Linked DNA regions of Xenopus tropicalis. The protein of the gene in region 3 interacts with the protein of the main gene of each other region in a pairwise test. Links are inferred from orthologs where the notes say so. Each region holds a gene or a part of one and is shown on either strand. Other genes may lie near its edges.

Evidence for each region.
Region 1: the proteins of arl6ip1 (region 3) and c12orf10 interact in binary tests that used the Homo sapiens proteins (3 or more experiments, as listed by UniProt). The two-hybrid records come from large-scale screens. The link is inferred for Xenopus tropicalis from reciprocal best matches to the Homo sapiens genes ARL6IP1 and MYG1.
Region 2: the proteins of arl6ip1 (region 3) and snx12 interact in binary tests that used the Homo sapiens proteins (3 or more experiments, as listed by UniProt). The two-hybrid records come from large-scale screens. The link is inferred for Xenopus tropicalis from reciprocal best matches to the Homo sapiens genes ARL6IP1 and SNX12.

What each region holds. Positions count from the first base shown.
Region 1 is NC_030678.2:147,125,372-147,128,029, forward strand, and holds the end of c12orf10 (UPF0160 protein MYG1, mitochondrial), read right to left. Parts: intron 2,554-2,658; coding exon 2,372-2,553; intron 887-2,371; coding exon 727-886; 3' UTR 629-726; downstream 1-628. UniProt on the Homo sapiens protein: 3'-5' RNA exonuclease which cleaves in situ on specific transcripts in both nucleus and mitochondrion. Involved in regulating spatially segregated organellar RNA processing, acts as a coordinator of nucleo-mitochondrial crosstalk.
Region 2 is NC_030684.2:44,619,296-44,623,468, forward strand, and holds the start of snx12 (sorting nexin-12), read right to left. Parts: upstream 2,949-4,173; 5' UTR 2,913-2,948; coding exon 2,748-2,912; intron 1-2,747. UniProt on the Homo sapiens protein: May be involved in several stages of intracellular trafficking.
Region 3 is NC_030685.2:32,823,144-32,826,802, reverse strand, and holds part of arl6ip1 (ADP-ribosylation factor-like protein 6-interacting protein 1), read right to left. Parts: intron 2,473-3,659; coding exon 2,339-2,472; intron 968-2,338; coding exon 848-967; intron 50-847; coding exon 1-49. UniProt on the Homo sapiens protein: Positively regulates SLC1A1/EAAC1-mediated glutamate transport by increasing its affinity for glutamate in a PKC activity-dependent manner.

The DNA.
Region 1 (2,658 bases), on a different chromosome or scaffold from region 3:
CTGAGCTTAGGGGTCATTGCAAATTGTCAAGCAGAAAATGATGCTGGCCTGTAATATAAGCTTATGCAGAGTACACTGGTTTCTGGGCTGACATAATTTTCTGATAAGCCATATATTGTGACATTTATATTCTATATATACTGTAAATTGAGTGGGTTCCTAAGCTCGGGTAAGTAACAGCAGCACAGCGTATGTGTAGGGAATCAGCGGAAAAGATGGGGGGGGCATCTTGGGGGCACAGATCTTCCCTGCTAAAGGGCGGTAGTTGCCTTGAACTGGCAGAGAAGCCCAAAACATAAATGTTCAGCATAACTACTTCTTTCTTAAGCTTTAGTTCTCCTTTAATGAAGTCCCAGTGCTCAAAGTAATTGTGGCAAATACGGATCAATTCTCTACCTGTAGGTTAGGCAATGGGTGATTATGTGATTATGAAGTACAATGTGGTTTGAATGACACTATTGGTGTTATTTGTTGAAACTTTCACTGTGTATAGAATTTTTATAATAACCTATTGTAGAATATTTCCGCATGTCTATATCGCTGCATAATTCTGATGTAACCTGTAAGTTTCAGTAGCAAAAGCAAAAAAAAAAAAAAACACCAATAAATACAACTTATTAGATACTGATTGACAAAAACTTGTATACAAAAATATTTACTGATGTCACAATATAAATACAAGGAGATGTTGTTGCTGTGTTTTGTCCTATTTTTAGAGGAAGCGCCCTAGGATCTCAGTGCTTTTCGTGCCATTTCTAGTGCTCCTACTTGGGTCTCATTTCCACCAATAAATCCACTGGCATGAACAAAGATGCAGCCTGGTATCCCGCTAACAGAAGAGAGATCATCTGCGCGAAGTCCGCGCCAATCCTCGGGGAGAGACAGACTGTGGGGTTAAGAAGATCAGTAATTAAAGGGAAACTATACCTCTATAAAATATAATGCATATAACAGCTCATATGTAAAACACTGCTTCAAACTAAATAAATCATTTAAATCCACTTTTCTAGTAGCATGTGCAGTTGAACAATCCTAAATAGAAAATTGCCATTTTAAGTACTAAAGGCTGTTTTGTGGGATCATAGGATTCAGGGTGCACACAAACAAACCAAGGGCACACATACATGTTAGGTCTCATCAGCCAGTGAATGGACAAAGTTCTGTCTTTTACTCCCACACTTCTCCCTGTTACAGTTAGAGCTGCATTATTTCCCTCCAGATGTGCGGTGGGCATTAGTACAACCATGATAGTATGTTAAAATAAGTTTCCATTTTGCTGCTATGCTTATTTTATGTGTTTAGCCAAATACTTTCTGTATCCAAAGAAACTAAGTACGGAGCAACATCCACACTGCCGTTTAAAAAATCATTTCTTTATTCCATCTCCTTAAAAACATGTTGTGCTTATACAGAAAAAGACCATACGCTTGACGCGTTTCGTGGTGTCTCACCACTTTTTCAAAAGCTGCATGGTACATCCATTCAGAAAATACCCTTTATAGGTAAACAAAACTCCTCCCACACATCTTGTTAACCCTTATAGTGCATATATCATTATTAAAAACAATGCTACCCAGTAAAAAACACTGGAGCTTATTATTTAAAGCTTATTAACATCCATCAGCCACAGGCAGTTAAAGAGATACAACAAATATGTAAATGTACATATATACACTACCCCTATATATGTGTGCACATATCTATATATACCCATATACAAATAACCATCAGTCAATAGAAACAGGTTAATTCCCACTCTCTATTCATACCTCCCAATGACTCTATAGTACCCAACTGATAAATCCAAAATGCTTCTCTACGTAACAATCTATTCTCAAAATCACCTCTCTTTATATTAAAACCACCTGAATCTATAATCTGAAAATGAAAATCCATGTTCCCTCCATGTTTATCAAGGGAATGTTTAGCTATAGCCGATTTGATATCCCCTCTACCTAGTACATATACTGGGAAAATATATGTTATTAAACAATATTTTAATTGTACCTCACAAAAGGTGATATATTTGATTACATGTAAATGTGGTGCTCAATATGTAGGTAAAACAGTCAGGAAAGCGTGTGAACGTATTTTGGAACATCTATCGGCCATAGGTAGAGGGGATATCAAATAGTTTCTTTGGATACAGATTATTTTGCCGTCTGGGTGCCGGCTGTGCGTTTGAACACACACTGCTGGATCTGTAAGTGCTCCCGTGAGTTTTAAAAAATAGCCAAATACTTTCTACCACACTGTCTCAACGTAACGTGATGTTGCATTTTAGTTATAAAACAGGCAGGACAGTATATTTTATAATTATTTTTAAGATCCCTATTAACATGTGAACAAGAAGTGTGCTGAATACTGTTACCGGTTCAGGAAAGTGTTTGGGCCTGTAGGGACACATTGCACCCTCCACTTTGCGCTCTGGTCAGGATACAGTACATATTTCACTTGCTTTTCCAGACCAAGCTCTTTCTCTAGTTGGAAGAGGTGTTCCTTCCATGGGCAGCCACCCTGTGCCAGGACAATCACCTCACCACTCTCATCCACCTGTGCCAAAAATAAACAATTTCATCCCAAAATGCCAATTTCTCATTCAGATGTGACATGTGTTATCCATGAGACGAATGAAATGAAACCAAAATGGGAGTCACA
Region 2 (4,173 bases), on a different chromosome or scaffold from region 3:
AAATTAAAAAAGTGCTTAGATTAGCACTTTCCTTTTAAGGATATCCTTTAAAAGATAAGTAAACCTTAAAAAAAACTATTCTAAGCACCTTTCAATTTACATTATTTTTTGATTATTATTATTTTTAATGAATTTTGTAACCACACTACCAGCTGGTCCGGTCCTGTAACTTTACAGTCAGAGAGATATACATTCAGATGGAAAACAGAAATTTTCTGATGTTGCTCTGCTCAGGAAGGAGGTGGGAAAAAGGCCAATAGACAGTCCCCCTTGACTAGCCAACACAAATCCTATACCATCAAATGTCCCTACAACCTACAAATTTAAAGCCTGCTTTACAATAACTGCATTATTTAAATGTTGTTTATGACAGTAAATACAATTTCTGTATAGCAGAGATCTATGGGCCTATCCATGAGTGTTTTTGCTATAGAAAGATAGAACATTAGTTTGTATACAATACTTCGGTTCCCTATCAGGTCAGCCTAGCTGCTGATTGGTTCCTATCCTAGAGTGCCATGTTCTAAGAGCTGCCGCCCCCTGCACAGCCAGAGAATTCAGCCAGCAGGAAGTGGAACAGATGGGCGGGACTAGTGGGGTTTTGGTGGATTTTCTCAATAAATCAGTCAGAATCACAACTTTTTTAAAGCACAATCCTTCTATATTTAGCGGAGTATAATTCACTGGTACATTCTTAATTTTTCTTTAATATTACAGCAACAGCTAAAAAGGAACATTGGTGACTCACTGTCATTTTCACTGCAATGCCTAATGTAGTGGGGCCCATTCCTTCCTTTATGCATTTTATGTAATGAGAGAACTCTCTCAGGAGTCAATATTGTTTATTTATTTGTTACAGAATATTCTAACACAGAAAGAGGCAACCAACACTAACAGCTCTTGCAGAAATACATAATCGGCCAATGCAAAAAGCTAGAGGCGCAGTGATCTAAAATACAAACACTGGTGGCTTTTGGCCACTCCTGGTAAAGCGGCACCTGAGGAAAGTCGACGACCCTCAGCCTGTGTCAGCATAGAGAAAGTCAAAGAATGGAGTTTAGGCACAATGCGATAAGTAGGCCATGCACCTAAAAATCAGTTTGCTGATCTTTCCCCGATACACCCACATTGAGCTGGGCAGTATCAACAAATGAAACTATGCAGGCTGTCAGGGAAAGGAACACATTAATGAGCTGATGCAGTCCTCGCCCTGACAGGATTTTTATGCCTGGCAGATAGATATCTAGACAATTTTTGTCCAAATCAGTCAGTCAGGCAGACAGGCTTCATACATGGGCAGTATAAGGCACCTTTACTGTGCAAGCCCTTCCTTTCCAGCTTTATTTGCAGGTCATTAAGCTGAATGGAGAGCTGTTTGCATTAGGCAGCGCTTTATCCAAGAGGCCAGGCTGTGGGGAGGCACAAAGACATCCTAAGGAGCAAACAGTACAGTGCTCAGGGCTAGACTTAAAACTGGAGCTCCCCTTGGCCTCTCACAAACCCCCTGAACCTGCCCCTCCAGCTCACACCTTACTCATCTACTCCCCACAATTGCACGACTGGATGGACAGAAGATTTAATCAGCTGTCAAAATCTCCCACCCAGTCCTTACTGCAGAAGCGGACAGCAGGCGCCATGCCACCCCCAGATCTCAGCTGCCCTAAGCCCAAGCCTTTGTGGCCTTCCCACAAATCTGGGTCTGACAGTGTTCACTCTTCATACTGATTATGTCAAACACAGGCCAAAGGGGTAGCATTATCAGTAAAAAGCCCAAATGAAGTCCATATTAATTAGTCAAATTCTAAGGGTGAAGACACATGGAGCAACTAGTAGCAGCTACTTGTGGCTACTAAAAAAGGCAATGCTGATCATTTACTGATAAATATCTCTATGTGTGTTTTAGCAGAGGCAATTCTCAGTATTGTCTATAGCAGGGTATTTTCTGGAGTTGAGTAGCCTTGAAAAAGTAGCTGCTACTAGTAGCCTAGTGTGTCTTCACCCTGAGTGTTCAGCGGGAAAAGAAAAATTAGGTAAGGATGACCAAAATATCTGAAAAATCACAAGTTTTCGCTTTACCAGTTTGAAATCACATTCTGTAGCTACATTCTGATTCTCCAAATGATCTGGTCACAATTCTCTAGCATGGTGGTCACAAAGGACTTGGGTGTTCAATTTGCCCCCTGGGCTTCAATGTTTAGCGCCATGATCTAAATCAAAGGGTCATATGTAAAGGTTGGTGACTGGGAATTCACCGATGGTGCCCTCCCCATTCCAGATATTCAAACAGAAAGATGCATTTAGCAGTGTCACATCTATTCCTTGCCATTCTCTGCACTGCTGATTACCAGACCTTCCTTGGCAGAACAACAACTGACTTCTGCTACATTGTAGGAACAGTCAGAACCCAGGGTGCAGAGAGATACTGCTTTCAACTGCAGCTACATTTACAAACAAATAATTCCAATAAATAATACTACTGGTTAGTTTGAACTGAAGTGTTTTAAAACGTTATAAGTAGATTTTCTTTTGTTGCTGGTGTTTAGGAAACAGACTGCCAGCATACCAATGTAAAGCTCAATGTGCAGCTGAAAGAGCAGAGATTCCCTGAGCGCTGACCCGTAGGCTGCACCCTATCTCCACACTGTGACTATTTAATGCCCACTTATATAATCAGGGGGTATACTGCCCATTTATCGCCCTCCCTGACTCAGTATAATAAAGCTTTTCTGCGCCCAGGCAACACTCACCCTCATGCGGACCTCGTACACTGTGTATCGGTTGCGCCCGACTCCCACAGTCTGTGGGTTAAAGATATCGATCTCTAGGAAGTTGCTGGGAGGGCCGTAGGCGTCCGTCAAGTCCTGGGGCTTGGAGTTTAGCCGCCGGGTATCCGCTACCGTGGCGTCCGACATAGTGACCGGAAACCAGGACCGAAATACTGCGGGGACCGACACACCCGGCCCGGAGAACCTATCACGCATGCGCCGAACCTCTTGCGTTGTCAGGGGGACGAACAGTCCCTCTGCACTGCGCATGCGCTGTGCTAAAGGTTTGAAGCCTTCTATACGACCTGACAATCTCCGGTCAGCTGAAGGCGCCGGTTCCGTCCCCTTCCGGAATACCTCATTGGACGACATCCAGGCTCCTCTCTTTTTTCATTGGCTAAATTCTTCTGTCAGCTTTGCAATTGGTTCTAAGCGTTCCGTAACGCCTCCCTTCAAAACCAATAGTGAATAGGGAGGGCTGTTTAAATTAGCAGCAGTCGCTCAGCTTGGAATCTGTTTGGGAGTTACCCTACGGCAGGTACATCGTATGTGGGTAAGAGCCTGAAAGCGCAATACTAGGGGTTCTGTAGACTAAAAATTGGCAGGTAGGGAACGTTCTTTACTCTCAGTAGCTTACTTATCGTAACTATAGTAGCACCTTATTTTCCAGTGTAACTATGGCAGGCTGGCATGGCATTATGGGAAGTGCAGTTTAATAGCAGATATCGCACAGGAGATGGGTTTAGTGCTTGAGTGTAAAACTGTGGGTTTGGGGCGCCAAAGCAGTGGTTGGTGGGAGAGGGGCAGCCTGGCTATGATTAGAGAATTTATTTGGGCTCTCCACTGTAGTTTCAAGTTATTTGTAAATGTAACTGCTATTAAAGCAGCATCTGCCTGACCTGGTTCTGAAACTATGTAGCAGAAGCCAGTTGACTTACTACACTGTTTCAGGAGTCAGAAAGAGCAGAGCAAATACTGCTTTCAGTGCCACTTACATTTGCAGATAACTTTAAGGCAACTGAAAGTTTGTGATGAATATACGTAAAAAATGATTTAATATTTAATTTATTTGCCATGAGGGATGCACTGAATCCAGTTTGTTTTTGCAAGGTCACATGAACCACTGAGGTTGTGACTTTGCCCAAATACTGTTCTGAATCTGTTAAAATATAATGTTCAGTTGTCCAAACGTTTTGTGGAAGATTTGTTATTTACAGAATCAGTGCATCCCTAAACTGCAATTGTATCTGGTGGACCAGATGGAAGCCATACAGCGCTCACACACGGGGTGTTAATTGTGACCTGCAAGGCAGTGTGGGGGAAATGAGTATTAATAACAGTGGGAAAATTTATTTGCAGAGCTGGTGGTAACCCTAGTTTTTGCCTGTATGTGCCATCCTTTATACCA
Region 3 (3,659 bases):
TACAAGGTTGCTGCAAATCTCATGGAACCTTTGTTGCTGCTCAGTGGTCCTGAAAACAAGTGAAATAATGGACATTAGGCCATTGGAAGAGTTTTGTTTTAGAAAGCATGATTAGCGCAAGAAAGGGTTTTAAATGGATATCAGACGCCTCTGACAACCTGGAATGTGTTATTGGGTCTAACTGACACAACATGTTACAAATGCACATTCCTATTCCTAACAGACTGGAAGCCCATTGAATATATCCTCCTCAAATTTTACTTTATACTATTTAGTGCTTCTATACTTGCCAACAGTTCTGTCATTTTAGGTTGAAAGAACACAAAGGGGAGAGGAACAGTCTGGTGCCACACTCATGAAGACCTTATCTTCAAGGAGAACTAAAGTTCAAAGACAAAATTAGTCTAGACATACTATATCTTATGTTATGGGGTTTTTGTTTCAGCCTAGTGCCACAAAATCCATTTTTCCAGTGATAAGCTGTGCCTTAAGATGCCCCAGCAGGTCTCCATCTTCAAATCATGGAAGCATGCTGGGCTACTAGCAGTTAACTGAGCTTGTGCACTGACACACAGTATACACAGAATTCACATTACAAGGCTACTTGGTACTTAATTCACATTAAATGGCAACATAGACACCAGTTATTCTGCATCAGAAATGAATAAATAATCAGCCTTGTAACATAATTTCTGCTTCTGATGCTTGTCCTCTGGCTAATGATATATGCGCTGGAAGAATTAAATGCTAACTTGCAATACACCTTATAAATAAAATGCAGACAAGATGCACAAGATACTAGTGTCAATGAATCAAATAAAGTATAAATATATGCATTCTTACTGACCATTTGTTTGAGCCAAAAATCCTGGGAGCAAGTGTTGGAACAAGATAATCAGCCAAACACAGGCACATGACAAAGCAGGATATACCAGAGAGGACAGACGGATCCAAGTAATAGATCATCCTGTGAAAAATTAAGATTTAAGACCATGATTACTCTATGTACCCCAAATCAAAATTATTTTATTAAAAGTACAGATGTCACCCAATTACTCTTTTTCACCTAAGGAGAAATGGGCACACAGTGCTCTGCCAAAAAATGACAAGTTGAAGTACATATACAAAGTTGCATGGGAAAATATAACAGCTGGAAGACTGAAAAAACACAAAATGCCACCATTTACTTACCTTTCCCAAGAGTCAGTAGATCCGACTTGCTCATGGGCAGTAAAGTGAAAATGAAAAATGTTACTTTACTGCACACGTACAAGCCCAAGCTAGGGACCCTTGCAATGTAAATAAAACGGTGGCACTGCACTGTTTTTTCCTGGTGCATTTTTTTCCAAAAAGAAACTTCAGACTGAGTTAGCAGCTTATTGGCTTAAGTTATGGGGCAATATCTAGCCAACTTAATCAGGCAGGTTTAAAAATCCCATTAGACGAGCACACAAGCATTTTAATGCAGTCCTTATTCAGTGGGCCTTTGTAGGTCTCAGGGTATGATCTGATCTTGGGATCAGCCTGATTTGGATCCTCTTGTTTGGGGGCCTTGCCAAATGAGTGGAATTGGCAGTGTATGGCCAGGTTTAGCTATATAATACACTGGAGGGTACCTAATATTTTGGCTTCCCTGGTTAATAAATATTTCCCTGACCCTTAAGTATTTCCAGCTGAAAAGCCCCAACTGCTTACGCATTCACCCATTTAAAATGGATGGAAAGTGACAGTGATGGTTTAAACACTAAATTGGTCCTCAGCTGTAGACAAGCTTAACAGTATTGGTGCTCCCTCTCCCTTGGCTCCACCAGTGCAAAATCCATACTATAATATCCACACAAAGAGGAGCATTAAATGCTTGGATAAGGGGCTACAGCAACTGAAAACATGTCAGCTGCATAAAGCACCAATAGCAGTATAAACTGCATAAAGCACCAATAGCAGTATAAACTGCATAAAGCACCAATAGCAGTATAAACTGCATAAAGCACCAATAGCAGTATAAACTGCATAAAGCACCAATAGCAGTATAAACTGCATAAAGCACCAATAGCAGTATAAACTGCATAAAGCACCAATAGCACTATAATCTGCATAAAGCACCAATAGCAGTATAAGTTGTATGTGTACCCCTCTCTGTATTGATATTATATTGTGACTGCTGTGCTGTCCAAAAGAATCAGTACAGTAGAGTAGCAATTTGGATTATTATTAAATAACACATTTCTGCTGGAAGAATATTTCTACACTACTAAAACTACTTATGGTAAGTCAAAAATCATTACAGACATGAAGCCAAAATATTTACTTTAAGAATATGTTCAAACCTATTACTTACAGAAATAGAAAAGAAACAGCTCCCATTATAGCTGCTGGGAACCATGGCTTCTCCCAACGAAGAACACGATCGGTCACCAGAATCACTTCACCCCATCCTTGAAAATGCTCTTCAAGGCTGGCGGTCTCCGCAGCCTTTAGAAAAAGATTTCAGAATAAGTCATAGAATTATTAAATGTAATATTTTATTTCAATCACAGTGCAGGATAACCTGTATCTTTCTGTAGTTTGAATCACCATACCTTGAGTCTCCAAAAGAATCATTTAACTATTAATTAAACCCAATAGGATTGTTTTGCCTCCAGTAAGGCTTAATTATATCTTAGGTGTGATCAATTACAAGGCACTGAAATAAAAAAAATAAAAAAATGTAATGATTACAATGGAGTCTATGGGAGATGGGCCTCCTCTAATTGGAGCTTTCTGGATAACGGGTATATATTATCAACTGAAACTTGTGTATTGTAACAAATATTGCACCCTTTGTTTTAAAATATGAGGATATCATGTCACCTTGTAAAAGATGAAATATACTTAAGCTTTGCCTTTGTGTCTTTATATGTTAATGGAACTCCTTGGTGACTTTTTAATATCACTATAATACAGAATATGGCACACGCAAAGACAAGTTCTAAGGTTAAAGGAGGCTTGCCTATTATTAGGTGTGGTTGCTTATGAAACTCATCAGGCATACCTTTTAGATGGATGGAATAAAGTCATGTTTTAACAAACATCTTTTGTGGTCAATTGGTGTGCGAAAGCAATTTAGGTTGAATGTTTCTTCTACCGCCTGAGGATACAGGTTCACGGCTTAAGGTACCTGGACCAACTTTCCTAATTGGTGAGTTTAGCTGACAATTACTAACTGGCCAATATTACTCTATTAAGCTTGAGACGGTATCTCACCAATTTACAAGGGACGTGTATGCTTTACACTTTATCTACTGTGTCCGGGTGACCCCCAATAACTATTATGGATAAGTGTGAAGTGATTGTATCACTATTAGGGCAATGGCACATGGTAAGATTTTTTGCCCGTGGTTAAATCTGCTTGGAAAGATATATTGTTGAGCTATTATTATACTGATGTTACTGAATGTTAAGAAGCCCTCTGTGTGTGTAAACACTTACCTGATACCCCGGCCGGTGTTCCTGTTAGCAGAAAGCGGACCGACTCGGAGTTCCACCAGCAAGCATCATGGAGGAATCCTCTTCCTCCTCCTTTCTTTGCGCTAGCTAGCTTTTCCACTCCTCCAAGCAAGAAGACGAAAGGAAGAGGATTGCTCGCTCCCCAGTCTGGTTCAGTTTTCTGCTAACAGGAG